2 linked regions of the Canis lupus familiaris genome follow. The protein of the gene in region 1 interacts with the protein of each later gene in a pairwise test. Links are inferred from orthologs where the notes say so. Each region holds a gene or a part of one and is shown in the gene's direction. Other genes may lie near its edges.

What was found.
Region 2: the proteins of MRPL11 (region 1) and CAMK2D interact in binary tests that used the Homo sapiens proteins (3 or more experiments, as listed by UniProt). The two-hybrid records come from large-scale screens. The link is inferred for Canis lupus familiaris from reciprocal best matches to the Homo sapiens genes MRPL11 and CAMK2D.

The regions. Positions count from the first base shown.
Region 1 is NC_049239.1:51,389,975-51,397,512, forward strand, and holds MRPL11 (39S ribosomal protein L11, mitochondrial), read left to right. Parts: upstream 1-3,651; 5' UTR 3,652-3,749; coding exon 3,750-3,872; intron 3,873-4,258; coding exon 4,259-4,354; intron 4,355-4,910; coding exon 4,911-5,004; intron 5,005-5,090; coding exon 5,091-5,250; intron 5,251-6,659; coding exon 6,660-6,765; 3' UTR 6,766-6,957; downstream 6,958-7,538.
Region 2 is NC_049253.1:6,359,826-6,367,185, forward strand, and holds the start of CAMK2D (calcium/calmodulin-dependent protein kinase type II subunit delta), read left to right. Parts: upstream 1-2,965; 5' UTR 2,966-3,454; coding exon 3,455-3,519; intron 3,520-5,161; coding exon 5,162-5,256; intron 5,257-7,360. UniProt on the Homo sapiens protein: Calcium/calmodulin-dependent protein kinase involved in the regulation of Ca(2+) homeostatis and excitation-contraction coupling (ECC) in heart by targeting ion channels, transporters and accessory proteins involved in Ca(2+) influx into the myocyte, Ca(2+) release from the sarcoplasmic reticulum (SR), SR Ca(2+) uptake and Na(+) and K(+) channel transport.

The DNA.
Region 1 (7,538 bases):
CTTCACTTCTTTTTCTCAAACTGTTCTCCTGCAGCTTCAGATGCTTCATCTCTTCTGTGGCTGCTCCTTCTTGGTTTCCTTTGCTCACTCTCTTTTTTTCTTTCCCCTATTTATTTTTTTATTTTTAAAAAAGATTTATTTATTCATGACAGAGAGAGGAAGAGAGAGAGAGAGGCAGAGACACAGGCAGAGGGAGAAACAGGCTCCATGCAGGAAGCCTGACGTGGGACTTGATCCTGGGTCTCCAGGATCACACTCTGGACTGAAGGTGGTGCTAAACCACTGAGCCACCCAGGCTACCCTCTTTCCCCTCTTTATTTACTTTTTTTTTTAAGATTTATTTATGATAGACATAGAGAGAGAGAGAGAAAGAGAGGCAGAGACACAGGAGGAGGGAGAAGCAGGCTCCATGTCGGGAGCCTGACGTGGGACTCGATCCCGGGACTCCAGGATCGTGCCCTGGGCCAAAGGCAGGCGCCAAACCACTGAGCAACCCAGGGATCCCTTTCCCCTCTTTAAATCCTGACTTCTCTTCTTTCCTCCTTGGGTGATCTCACTCTTGGCCCTGACCCCAAGGACTATCAGTCTCTATGCTACAGATGCCAGCATTTCTGTGTGCAGCTCAGGCTTCTCTCCCAGACCAGGCCATGGCTAGGTGCCCATGGGCACCCCTGTTGTGTGTTGGTCTCAGCTACTGACAACTAATATTGTGGCTAGACTGGCCTTGTGGGGTTGTTGTTGTTGTTGTTGTTGTTGTTGAGAGAGAGCAAGAGTGGGGAGGAGCAGAGAGAAAGGGAGAGAATCCTAAGCAGACCGCACACCAGTGTGGAGCCCAAAGCAGGGCTTGATTTCATGACCCTGAGATCATGACCTGAGCTGAAATCAAGAGTCAGACGCTTAACTGACTGAGCCACCCAGGCACCTCCACCTTGTGGTTTGTAATATAAATACAAGATGCCTTCAGCAATAACCATCAGGGAATTTGGGGAGAAAAAAAGATTTATTATTCACATATCCTGGAAATTGCATGGCACACCTGGGGCCACACAGCCAGTTCTCAGAGGGAGAGAGAGAAGGGGGAGCACCTTGGATTTCTGCTTTTATTGGGGTCCAGGGTGGGGACCTAAAATTTTACAGGCTCACTATTTATTGGTGAATTTAAGACAGAATAGTTGGTATTTAAAGAACAAAAAGAGTAAAATCAAGCAGTTCAAATGCTCAGTTACCAAGATCTCTAAAACAAAGGAGCCTCAGGTGGGAGAGGGGGCCGTGACCTGGCTCTTTTTATCTAGAGTTGTGTCTGGCAATGTGTTTAGATAGCCATCTCTGAAATGGATGTCTCCTTGAAATGGATGCTCCTCAGTCAAAGCTTAAGCCAGGCACTGATATTACAAAGAGGATAATCCAACTGTCAAGGCTTACACTATACTCTCTGACACAACTCACAATCTTTCACCCACCTACAGCTCCCATGTCCCAACAATGAAAGTGAAAGACTTTATCATTCATTTACCCAAAGCCTCCATGCCAGAATCCAGAACATCACCATGGATGCCTTTCTCCCTCTCCCTGGACAAATCACCCATCAAACACTAAGTTCTGTTGATGGGCCAGGCAGTCTAGGGAGTGGTTAGTAAAGGCACTAGAGCCAAAGGTTTGGGTTCAAATTCACATCCTAGTAGCATAAGTTTGGACAAGTGACTTGACCTCTCTGGGATTCAGTTTTCTAATCTATAAAGTGAGGAATAATAACAGGACCTATACTTTATAGGATTATAATGAAGTTTACATAAGTGACTTTTCATAAAGGTGGACACAGTATATATTGCACAAGCATTTTCTGACTAAAATATATTTCTATCTTCTAAGTATCTCTTGAATTGGTCCCAAGCCACCAACATCTCTCCACAGGTTTCCTGCCCTGGCCTAATGGGTCTTCCTGCATCCATCCTTGCCCTCCTCTCATCCCTCTATGTACCCAAGCCTAGGTCACCTTTCAAAATGCAACTACTTAACACTCTTCAATGATTTCTACTGCATCGCCACACATCTTAACAGGGCTGATAAGACTTGTATGATCTGACTCCCCACTCACTTGTTGCATCTCATTTTCAACACTAAAATGCTCTGACATTTCCAACACTAGACTAGGGAGTTGCTTCCTCAAAATGTGTAAGAGCTGGGACAATCAAGACTATCCTTTCATTGACATAAAGTGAAAATTGACAACAGAGCCCAGTTTGTCCCAGGCTGCTTTTGAGGCTCCCAGAACACCTGCCATGCCAATCTGTTTCCTGATTTCTTCATTTAGGAAGAATTTATGTATTTATTTGTAAAATAAAAGTGTAAATAAAGGCTGGGCAGTGTGGGGGCACTCAGAGATAAATCATATCTAGCTGGGCTCTCTTCAAGGTGCTTTACCTGAATTAACTCATTTCCTGGGAGGTTAGTACTATTGCTAGCCCCGTTTTGCTAGTGAGTAAACCAAAGCACAGGAAACTTAATTATTTTGCCCAATGTTTTACAACTAGTGAATCAGGAGCCAGCTTGATTCCAGACCCTGGCTAAGGCTAATGAGATAGAGCATTATAAAGAACTTGAGAAACTTCAGAGGCAGGAATAATCACATTTAATTAGTGGAAGTCCAAAAAAATCATAATAAAAATATGACAGTTTACAGTGTGGTTTAGCACAGATTATCTCCTTTTACTAGATGAGGCAATGTAGAGTCATGGTACATGGCACAAGGTCTAGAATCCGGTAATACCAATATTGGTTTCCCAGCCTTGTCAACACAGGGTAGTTGTTTTTGACCTCCTTTTTGTGCGTCAGCATTCTCGTTTGTCAAAAAGGTAAAATAAAAGAATTTACCTCATGCCATTGTGAGGACTAAATGAGATAATAATGCCCTTAAAGCACTCGGCACCATGCCTGGATATAGCAAGTGCTCAAAAAAAAAAAAAAAAAAAAAGGCATAATAAGATGCTGGCTTATTTTTATAAGTCTCACAACAGCTCTGTGAAGGTTTTGTCTTCGTTGTACAGTTAATAGCACATGCTTACTAGATGCCGGGCATTGTCCTAACACACTGCTAACTCAATCTTCACAACAGTCCCTAGAGCTATGTCTACATATTATAATCTTTGTACAGGGGAGGAAAGTGAACATAAGTAATTTGAACAAGTTCACAGCCAGCAAGAGGAACAACCGGGTACTTACTTCCCGGGTCTATACTCTTAATCATAGTGCCTTTCAACAACAGGTGACGAAACAGGCTGGGAAAGTTAGAGATGCTCACGCCCGAGAAGGAGCTCTAAATTCCCTTCAAACCCCAGGATTATAATCACATCCAGCAGATGGCCCCCCAGAGCATAGCAACGTGCGAGATTTGCGTAAGCGGTCAAAACTACCATGCCCACAATGCTGTGCGAACATTAAGGGCCTCCTCCTCCTCCAGTTTAGCTGTCCGAGGTACTGCCTATGTGCTCTGCAGGAGGAATGCATGTATCTGAACCATTCAGGCCTTCCCTTATCTTCAGATCGTGAGGTAAAAGTTTTTTTTATCCTTCATATTACTCTCTTTGGCGTACTAGTTGGAGAATAGAAAGGCCGAAACAACGCTGCTTTTTGTTGGCGTCATATGACCAAACCTAACGTGAGGACCCTTGACCTCTGACTCAGGATGGCGGCGCCCGTGGCCGTCGCTTTTGCTGTAATCCTGAGCTGAACTGAGGCCGCAACCCCGCGTCATGTCGAAGCTGAACCGAGCCGCTCGGGCCCTCAGGAAGCCCGAGGCCGGCGGCGTGATCCGGACCATCGTGCGGGCAGGCCAGGCCATGACCGGGCCTCCTCTAGGTCCCATCCTGGGTCAGGTGGTCCCGCGGCTGGAACCCGGAGCGGGAGGCGTGGTGGGGGTGGGACCTAGTACTGGGACCCGGAGCGGGTGGAGGGTGCGGGCTCGGCTTGGTAAGGTAAGGTCAAAGCGCGGCTTTGCTGCCCACACGCTTTTGGTCTTTGCGTTCATTCCGTGGCCTGTTCGAGGCTAAGCTTCCTCCGTCCTTGGTCAGCGGCCCCTTGGGAGGATAGAGGGACGATGCATACAGATCCTCTGGCGCGTAAAGTGTTAGTTGAATCTGGGTTAATAAGAGGAGGATGGGACCTTTAAGAGATGAAGACGAAGGAGGAAAGGGATAGAATCTCCCGTATGGTAGGAAGCCGCCCCCTTGTCCCCACACTAATGTCCGTGCTTCCCACCCAGAGAGGTGTTTCCATCAACCAGTTCTGCAAGGAGTTCAACGAGAAGACAAAGGACATCAAAGAAGGCATTCCTTTGCCCACCAAGATTTTTGTGAAGGTGCACAGTCGGGACTTTGATCCTGTTTGGCTTTTAAGTTTTTATTTTTATTCCAGTTAGCCGGTATACAGTGTTATATTAACTTTGAGTGTATGATATAGTGATTCACCGGTTCCATGCAACACGCGGTGCTCATTGCACTCCTTAATCCCCGTCACCTAATGATCCTATTTGTTTTTCTTCCCCTTGGTTACTGGGGTTGCTACTCTGCTTTTAATTTTGGGTGAGGCTCTTCCTATCACCGAGTCCCACTTTCCCCATTTACACAGTGGAGACTAGACCATATCTTTTCTGAGCCTTTCCTGCCATATTGCATTTCCTCCCTTTGCCTGTCCATCTCACTCGGGCTTCTACAGCAGAGCTGAGCCTGGACTAGAGGTGACAAAGCTGTTAGCTGCAGATTTATTTTCCCCGTGTTTTCATGATCTGTTAAATGGACGCCAGTGGAAGATGAGTCAAGGGAAGGGGGAACAGAAGTTAAAAGTTCTCTGGGCTGGGGCAGCAGGGCCTAGAGGAGATAAGAGAGATATTCTCCTGTATTTTCTTCCCCATGAAGCCTGATAGGACATTTGAAATCAAGATCGGACAACCCACTGTTTCCTACTTCCTGAAAGCAGCTGCTGGGATTGAGAAGGGGGCCCGGCAAACAGGTAAGGGTCAGGGTGGGTACCCGGGATTTTGGGGGCTCTGGAAGGAAGCCGAGATACCTCAAGGTCTACTTGTTTCTTCCTCCCAGGGAAGGAGGTGGCTGGCCTGGTGACCTTGAAGCATGTGTATGAGATCGCCCAAGTTAAAGCTCAGGATGAGGCCTTCGCCCTGCAGGATGTGCCCCTGTCCTCTGTGGTTCGCTCCATCATTGGCTCTGCCCGTTCCCTGGGCATTCGTGTGGTGAAGGAGTGAGTGTCTTGGGAAGGTGCAATGTGAGGGGAGGGCTTGGAAAGTTCTTGACTCTGGAGCAAAGCCAGGAGGGCCCATTACAGTGGGAGGACCAGCTTCTGAGTCAAGGACCTTAGATTCTTGGGAGTGGGCAGCCTTATTCATCCATTTGGAATATGAATATTAAGTACCTGTTATGTGTCAGACATTTTTCTGGACGTTAGATACAGCGAGGAAGAAATCACTGGGTGGCTCAGTGGTTTAGCATCTGCCTTTGGCCCAGGGCGTGATCCTGGAGTCCCGGTATCAAGTCCCACATCAGGCTCCCTGCATGGAACCTGCTTCTCCCTCTGCCTGTGTCTCTGCCTCTCTCTCTCTCTCTCTCTCTCTCTCTTTGTCTTTCATGAATAAATAAATAAAATCTTAAAAAAAAAAAGATACAGCGAGGAACAATGAGATAGCCATGCTTGGCCCCACTCCTAGGGAGTTCACAGTTGAGAGCTGGAGGCAGATGTGTAAGTGGAGCATTAGGCTGCTAGATGGTCATTGTTGACAAAAGGAACTGCAGGTTCTTGAGGAAAGAGTAGAGCTCCTAATTTTGCCTGGTGTGTCAATGAGGACTTCACAGAGGAGGTGACATCTGCACAGACTTGGAAAAGGAGGTCAAGGACTGGGACAAGCATTCCAAGAAGTGGGAAGATCCCTGTGAAGGACAGGAGGTGAAAAAGTGAAGCAAATAAATGCAGTGTGCTCTGGCGTATGGTGCTAGAAGCAGAGTGGGGAATAGGAAGAGAGGTGAGACAAATGGACCAGTTGGGAAGGCTGAAGGCTGTTTCCATCTATCTGAAGTTCATATTTGATCCTGAGGCCAACAGGAAGCCCCCTCCTAGGGTTTGGGATGACCTCAGGAATTATTTCTCTGAAGTGAGATGTTGGATGGGAGAGCATACATCATCTGAGGGCTCAGACAACAGCAAGGGCGGGGCTTGGCCCTTTATGGGCCTCTTGCTGCTGATGTTACATCTCATGCTGAGGCTAACATTTGTTTCCTAAGAGAAGTGGGATTAAACGTGGTACAAGGATAGACCTGACTTTCTCAAATCTTCACTTTGACTAGAAGTACAGAAGTGAGTCGATCTGACCCTTGCTTGGGGGGAGGCACATGTGTATAGCCTGACGACTTCTTTGTACAAAGTGTTTGGGGGCACAGAGGAAGGGGCAGTTAATCTGGATTGGGGTATAGCCGGGGCCTCAAAAGGACTGGTGGAGCTTTAAGGAGGGAATCATAGGTAGAGACAGAGGTGGGGTAGCAAAGGTATGGAGGCTGGGGAGTCCAAGGAGGGAGAAAGGGCTCTGAGACAGTGGTGTGGGCACTTGTGAGCTTCCCAGCAGTGACTGGCCACTCACTATCTCCTTTTCTCACCTGCAGCCTCAGTTCAGAAGAGCTAGCAGCTTTCCAGAAAGAGCGAGCCGCATTCCTGGCTGCCCAGAAAGAGGCAGATTTGGCAGCCCAGGCAGAAGCTGCCAAGAAGTGACCCTGTCCCCCACACTCCAGGGTTTTGAAGGGAGTAGCTGGAATGGAGGCCAGTTGGAAAAGCTGTACCAAAAGGGTGGGAGGGAGGTGACACCAAGCTGATTGTTATATCCCTGACTTTAAATTATATATTTTCATATGTATGACAGTATCAAGAGATCAAACTTAAATAAACATTTCTTTTGTCATCCGCTCTTGACTTCTGTCTTGGGACCTGAAGGGAAAAGGACCAGTGCTGATGGCAGCCAATGTGAACAGACATCAGCTGCCCTAAGGAAGTTGGTCTTCATGCTGTTTCTCATACTGTATAATCCAATGCTTAGCCAAGCAGAGCACCTTGCCCAAGTTTTGAATTGGTGGCAGAGGTAGGAGTTGGAGCTGTTTAAACTTGTTGGAGCCTTCTGATGCGAAACCCTGTGTTGTCCTCCTCCTCAGAGGTAAGAGAACAGGTGGAAGCCATGGATGCTCAGGCTTAGATGTACAGAAGCAGCAGAGGTGGGACGCCTGGGTGGCTCAGTGGTTGAGTGTCTGCCTTTGGCTCAGGGTGTGATCCTGCAGACTCAGGATCGAGTCCCACATCAGGCTTCCTTTAGGGAGCCTGCTTCTCCCTCTGCCTGTGTCTCTGCTTCTCTCTCTGTGTCTCTCATGAATGAATAAATAAAATCTTAAATAAAAAAAAAAAAAAAGGCATCAGAGGTTGCTTGTGTCTCTATCAGAAATATCTCTTACCGGGATCCCTGAGTGGCGCAGCGGTTTAGCGCCTGCCTTTGGCCC
Region 2 (7,360 bases), on another chromosome or scaffold:
CCTTGGGGAACTTATATTTTAGTTGGGAAGTAAACAATTAACAGGGAAAACATTTATAGTATACTAGATGGTAATAGATATTAAGGGGAACAATAAAGCAGGCAGTGCAAATAGAAATCATGTCTGAAAAATGGGCAGTAATTGATAGAGTGGCCAGGTAAAGCTGCATTGATGAGGTGATATTTGAGAAAATACTAGAAGGAGGTAAAAAAATGCAATAGGAGAAATGAATATTCCAGGAAAGAGAGAATAGTACATGTGAAGTCCCTAATCAGGAGCATGCCAAGTCATGCTCCAGAACAGCAGAGGCCAATGCGGCTGGAGTAGAATGAGCCAGGGTACAAACTGAGGGTAAGAAGACGAATGGAGTAGGGATGGAGGGCAGACCCGTGAAGGCCTTGTTAGCCATTTTTGGAATTTTGCTTTTTAATCTAATTGAGTTACTAAGACTTCAGAAGTTTTTGAGCAAAGGCATGATTTGTTCTGACTGAGGTTTTAAGGGGACCATTATGCCTGCCATGGCTAGACTAGAATGAAAAGGGGTAAGGGCAGACACAGGAGACCAGGAAGAAGGCAAGAAGATTATAATCCAAATGGGATTTCTGTGTAACTTTAGAAGGATTACTGTCTTGTAAACATTAAAAAAAAAAAAAAAAATCACTGTTTTAAGAAAGCCCAAACTTCAGAAATAACTGTCAATCTTTGAATAAGAGAAATATTTTAATCAGTCTAAGATATTAATCAGGAAACAGCACAAATATTGAGTAAGCAGTGTTTAAAATACACATTTATTGTCTAATAATACATCAATATTGAAACTCTTGTTTCATTGTATCATACAATCATCATAACCACTCACAATTATTGCTAGTTTAAATAACTGAGATAAATACTGTAATTATGTAGACCTAATTACTTGAATATTCAAAAATTTTTTTCCTCCCCGGAGTTGTAAAATTTTATATTATCTTTATTTATTGTTTTAATTATACTCACTCTGCTTCATTTTCAGATTCAGAGAATGTTACATTATTGCATTATAACTTGGAACCATGTTGCTAGATATTTAAGACACAATGTTAAAAATCTTTAGCAGACGAAATCTTTTTTTTCCAATTTTATGGCTCAATTATTAATATTTAGACCTGTTTTTCTTTATACAGCCTTTGGTATCATCTTGTATCATTACATTTTACACAATGTTCTATTTGCTTTTTATGGCTAGGAATAAAAATAGGCACAAGGTTCCATTTTGTTACAGTGGTTGGAATTGGTAAATACTTTGAAAACCTCAGTAAAAGCTCTGCTTCTTGGCAGGAGATCATTCCCCAGATGAGGAAATGTGTGACTACGGACAAGCAGCCCTTGGGAGATGGCAACAATTCCTCTACATTAGACTGTATATCCAAGTTATCCTTTATCTTCCAGCTGCGGAAATCTGAGTCCATGATGTGATGCTAATCATGAACAAATCAGCCAGAACTACGAGGTTTTTAGGGTCCCCTGCTGTAAAACAAAGGACAGCAATTTGGAAAGACCGTTCAAAACCGTTTTGTTCTGCCTTCAAAATTGCAGATGCATAGTTTATTAAAGACAGAAGGGAGGGCCAGGGGTTGTTTCAGCGATCAGCGATTTATTTTAAATCTACTTTTTTCCTCCTATTTACTGTCTGCTAATGCTAAGGACACACTCTTGAACCGTTAAGTCGCTTACGAAGCGTACTTCCGGGTCACTGCCTAGCCAGGTCTTCGGTCATGCGAGCAGAACACGCCCGGCCGCTAGACTTCTCTTTCTTCCCTTTGCAAAACGAAACGGGCCGGAACGTGTTCACGTGATGCGAGTGACGTCAGCCCCAGCCAGGTCGCGTGACCGACACCCAACCTGCCCAGCAGCCGCCCCCGCCCCCGCCCCCGGCCCCCGCCCCCGCCGCCCGGGCCGGAGATCTCGCGAGAAGCCGCCTTACTATCAGAACTTCCTGAGCTTACGCGGGAGTTACTCTGAAGGGAGGGTGTGGCTCGCTCCTCGCTCGCTCGGGGAGTGTTTGCTTTCATTCTAGCCTTCGGCAAAGGCTGAAGCGAAGGCCTGGGGCGGGGGTTGTCTGTCAAGAGTTTGAGCGACCCGGCCTGGAAAACGGCGCGGGGGCACGTGGGCAGTGAGGTGCAGTCGCCTCACACGTGAAACGTGGCGCACGGCGGGCAGCGCCCCTCGCTAAGCCGGCTGCGGGCGGCGGCGCGGCTTCTGCAGGCCGGGCCCGGAGTCCCCGGGGGCTGTGGGAGGCCGGGACCCCGGGCGGGACGCGGCCGACTGCCCACCTCCGGCCCCCGCGGTGTCGACCCCGAGCGGAGCCGAGCGGACGCGGCCGCGGCCGCGCACGTCGCCCTCCCCCCGGGGGCACCCCCCGGCCGGCCCGCGGCTCGCCCCGCGTCGTTCCGCCGCATCCAGCCCCAGTGTCGGCAGCCGCCTGACCGCGAGGTCACCTGGGCGGCTCGCCGTGTCGCCTCACTCGCCTAAACCCTCGCCGGGCTGCTCGTTCGTACATCCTCCGCCCCCCCCGCCCCCCCCGGCCCCCCGACGGGTGTGCGCGAGCGTGAGACCCGGGGCGGAGAGCGAGGTCCGCGAAGGCGCCGGGCTGGGAGTCGCTAGAGGGAGGTGTGGGACCGGCGAGGAGGGGGCTCCGCGGAGGGAGCGCGGGGGAGGGGAGGGGAGGCGAGGGGAGGAGGCGGAGGCCCAGGCCCGCGGAGGGCCGCCCGGGCTTCGCCCCATCCGAGCGCTCTTCCTCTCGCCGCGCAGCCGCGCAGCCTCGCAGCGGAGCGGCGCGGGCCCCAGGGGCAGCGCCAGGCAGCCGAGGCGCCCGCGGGAGGCAGGCGGGCCCCGGGCGCGCACGCTCGGCCGAGCCCCGGCGCGCCCCGCGCCCCCCGCGCCCCCCGCGCCCCGCGCCCCGCGCCCCGCGCCCCCCGCGCCCGCTGACAGCTGCAGCTGGGCTCGCGCTGTCCGCTCCCGGCTCCTCGGCCTCCGCCCCCTCGGGCTCCCTCCCCTCCAGCCCGGTGCGGCTAGTTTCGCAACTGCTCGCCTCTCGCCCCGTGCCCGGCTGTTTTCCATTTCCCGGCCCCTTCTTCCCGAGTACTTCGCCCCCGGCATTTGGGGGAGAGGGGCTGGGAAGGGGCGGGTGGAGCGTCCCGCGGAGAAGGAAGCACGGGCCGGAGGAGGAGGAGGAGGAGGAGGAGGAGGAGAATCGGCGGGCCGTGGGGAGGAGACCCCACGCCACCCTTTCTGGTCATCTCCCCTCGCGCCCCGCCCCTGCGCACACTCCCTCCCGGGCGAGCTACTTTCGGACGAGGAAAGTGAGGGCGGCCCTGGGTGGCAGCGCCGCGGGGCCAGTCCCGGGGAAGCCGCGCGTCTGTTGGAGTCGCGTCCGCCGGCTCTCCCAGCCAGGGGCATAGCCCGCACCGAGAGGATGGCTTCGACCGCAACCTGCACCAGGTTCACGGACGAGTATCAGCTTTTCGAGGAGCTCGGAAAGTAAGCGCCTTTGCCCGCGTCCGCACGTCCCCTTCCCAGCAGAGGGGCGGGTAGCGTTCCCCGACCCACCGGCCTCCCGCGCGGGGCGAGGGAGCTGGGGAGACCCGAGGAGTGGGAGGAGGGCCAGTGGCGTGGCCGGCTCTGAGCAAGGTGCTGCTCTAGCAAGAGGAGGGGGACCGAGACTGGAAAAGACCCTCCACCCCGCTTGTGTGGCCCATTCCGATAATCCTCAACCCACCTTCTCCCGCCCACCCCCCCCCACCCCAACCCTCTTGCACTAGAGACTTAGTGGATTTACGATCCCTGCAGTTGTAGCTGTCATCCTGAGAAGTGTGCGAGCGTGCGTGTGTGTGTGTGTGTGTGTGGAGAGAAAACAAGAACCCGTGTAAAATGCAACATAGATCGTGTTTTCTGTAAATAGAGATGCCTCCTGGTTAGCCGGCGTGTCGCCCGTACGACCCACGTACGAACGAGAACTCCCTGCCACAGACGGTGCCATATTTATTGATGCCGAAAGTTCAACTTGGCGTGGAGTCTATTTCACGTCCAGTAGTTGTTCTGTCCAGGAAGAGGGTCACCAAAGGAACTCGACCCCCTGCCCCATATCCACTACCCTTTGCACCTAGATTATTCGCTCATCATCATCCTTCCTAGGATTTACGTGTACATCTTCGCATTCTCTGGGAGGATTTATTTATACAGGCGACGGAAAAGACCTGGAGACCGAGAGAAAGCTTGCCAAGGGTAGCCTAGCGTCCTATAAAAACGACCTCCCACGCCCCGACTGGCGGAACTCCTCGGAGAATTTAAGGAAGGGGACCAGAGACCTCCTGAGGACCTGTGTGCTTAGGGACCCAGGGGCCAAACCGTGAATGTTGGTTTATGTAGCATCCCACCCAAACCCTATTCCTCTATCGCTAGTGCCGACTATTACTTACGAAAGGGGTGCGTTTATGTGTATGTATGTATGTATGTTTTATACAATTGAATTCAAGAAACTGTAATTATCTTTTAAACGTAATGACAAGTATATCCTTACATATTTATATGTTGTCTGCTGTTAAAACATGGAGACTATGTCGGAAGAGCAGCTTAATTCAAATCTCACCCTTCCCCCAGCTCAAAAGAGGGCACAGAGAAATCACCGTATCAGGACTTATTAAACCACACAAATGTTCCCAAGATTTCTATTTTAGTGAAAACAATCGCCATATTTACTTGGAGCCACATTAATTTTTTTTTTCTAATAAATAGGCAGCAGATTTTTGCTGCTCCTCCTCAGCCATGCTCTTTGCAGGTTTTTTTTTTTTTTTTTTTCCCTTCTCAGAGCATTTGGTACTATGTGAGTGTGAATTGTAAAATGTTTTCAAATTTCCTGGGCAAACAAGAGCCGTCATAATTGGCAGTTTCTTTCATTATGTTGATTAATAATGTGTGCTCCCAGTTAAATAAAATTTACTTTTATTCTTCAACATTAAAGAAGGCTTGGGTTCCCAGGAAGAATCGTTCATTTTCTGATATTACTGTAGCGCATTGATATTTTACAAATCACTAAATGCAGTAAAAATGCTCAGATTGCTGTGATTTTTAATAGGATATCAGAGCTGATTATATTGATGACATGCTAATTATTGGTTTTCAGGGGGGCTTTCTCAGTGGTGAGAAGATGTATGAAAATCCCTACTGGACAAGAATATGCTGCCAAAATTATCAACACCAAAAAGCTTTCTGCTAGGGGTGGGTATTTTCAACCACATAATACAGTATATGTTAATTATGTATTTGTCATGTTGATTGTTCTGTTGTCTGTAAATATATAGTTATAATTGAACTGTAGACTTAGGTGTCCTCTTACATTTTTGCAGTTACTTCCTTCTTGAATGCCTCTTGGTATGTATAGTTTAAAAGTTAAGTGAAGACATAGAATTTTAACAACAAATTATTAAATCATTCCAACTGTCCTGTGAGCAGCAGCATATGTAACTATTTTACAGCAAATAAGTTGTCCCTTAGTGCGTCTTGCTTTTAGCTCTGCTGTGAAACAACTTTCAGAAATACCCTGGAATGGAAAAATGTCTCACAACTGTCATTATTCTCTTTTGCTTTTAAGAGGAAAAATAGGTCATAGCTCAGTTGAATCATATTTCAATTGTAGTTACACTTGAACTTAATTTATCAAGGTATATTTAACAGTAATAGCTTTGGGAGGAAAAAATTTATCATTGCTATATTCTAGGAAGTTCAGCTTGATTTTGAGGTTTCCGTGTGTGCAGTCCAGACCTATACTGGGTCTTCCGCATTAAGGCTTCTCGCCGACTCCTGTAATGTATTTTACACATGCTTTATAGCCACGGAGATAATTCCTATCATAAAATAGCTGTTGACATACGCAAAAAAAAAAAAAAAAAAAAAACCAAAAAAAAGAAAAAAAAACAAACCTTGAAGGGGCCTCACTGCATTCTTTTGTTGAACGCATGCAAAAGTACTTACACTGAAATGTTAGGCATTCTAATTATTGTGAGCACGTGTCTAATGTATTTCCATGGGAATTTATGGTTTAATGGAATTTAAATGGAATTAAAATGAACAAAATGCCACAATATAAGCCATTTTAGTGACCTGGTTTATTTTAAGTAATGAGAGAGGAAATTCTATTAGGGTTAGTTTGCCTCATTTCAATTTGTCTTCTAAAAAGTGCTGCTTCCTAGGATCCTTGTGTTTGGTCTCTGCCATGATTTTTTAAAAACTTTTCCTCTCTCTGTTACAGATTCTACTTTTAACATATGCTTGAGGTTTAGATTGGCATTTCAGTTCATTTATTTGAATCAGAGAGATTTTGTTGTGATTTCCTTCATCTGATTTTAACGGTCTTCCTAGGGACATCTATGTGCTAAAGTAACCAGTACCATAGCTTCACAGCTTGAGAACTAATGAGAAGCACGTCATCCTTGATTACACTCCCCTATCCCTCTTCTCTCCACAGGAAGGTTTTTAACAGTCAAAATGAGTTGCTAAACTGTAAATGACATTTTAGTTTTTAAAAAAGAAAAAAAAAGTGTATAATTCTGTCAGGGCTTATATGTTTTCTTTCCCTACACTAGGTACTTTTGGCGAGAGTAGGTAGTAGTTCTTTTGGAGGCGTTATACCACCTGTCCCAAATCTCTTAGTGGCTTTAAATTTTCTTTCAAAACAAATCAGTCTCATGCTTCACTTCTACTGATTTTCTTAATTAGTGTTATCCCTCTTCATCTACCCTGCTTCATACTCCCTATATCAGAATGGCAAATACAGTTTCTGCTCACATTTTATTTTTCTTCTGACTCCAGTCTGTGGAGGATAAGTCTTCTCTAACTTGATGGGATTCCTTCTTCCTGCCAGTGTTTCTCACCTGCTCATACTCCACTTTAAAGAACAATCTACATCCCAAACCACTTTGCCCCATCTGGATTTAATGATTCCAATTACGTTTAGGAAAAGTAGGGTGAAGTACTAAAAGACCTCTCCCTCTCCAGTTTTCTTGTGACTTTGGGCAAATTTCTTAACCTGCCTACGTTAAACCCTTCTGAGGAGTGAGGTGGTACAGAAGCAGGTGTTGGAATAAATGCCCTGGGTTTAAATTCTGATTTCCCTATTAATTGTAATCTTGGGGCAAGATTACGTGTTTTTGATGAGCCTTTGTTTACTCATCCATAAAATGGACTAATAATGTAACCCTTTTATAGGGTTTGTGAGGAGTAAATTAATATAGTACAGAACGCCACCTGCTACATAATACGTATTCAATGAATATTAGCTGTTATTATTATCTCTTGGGTCGTAATGATCAGATGGGATTACTAA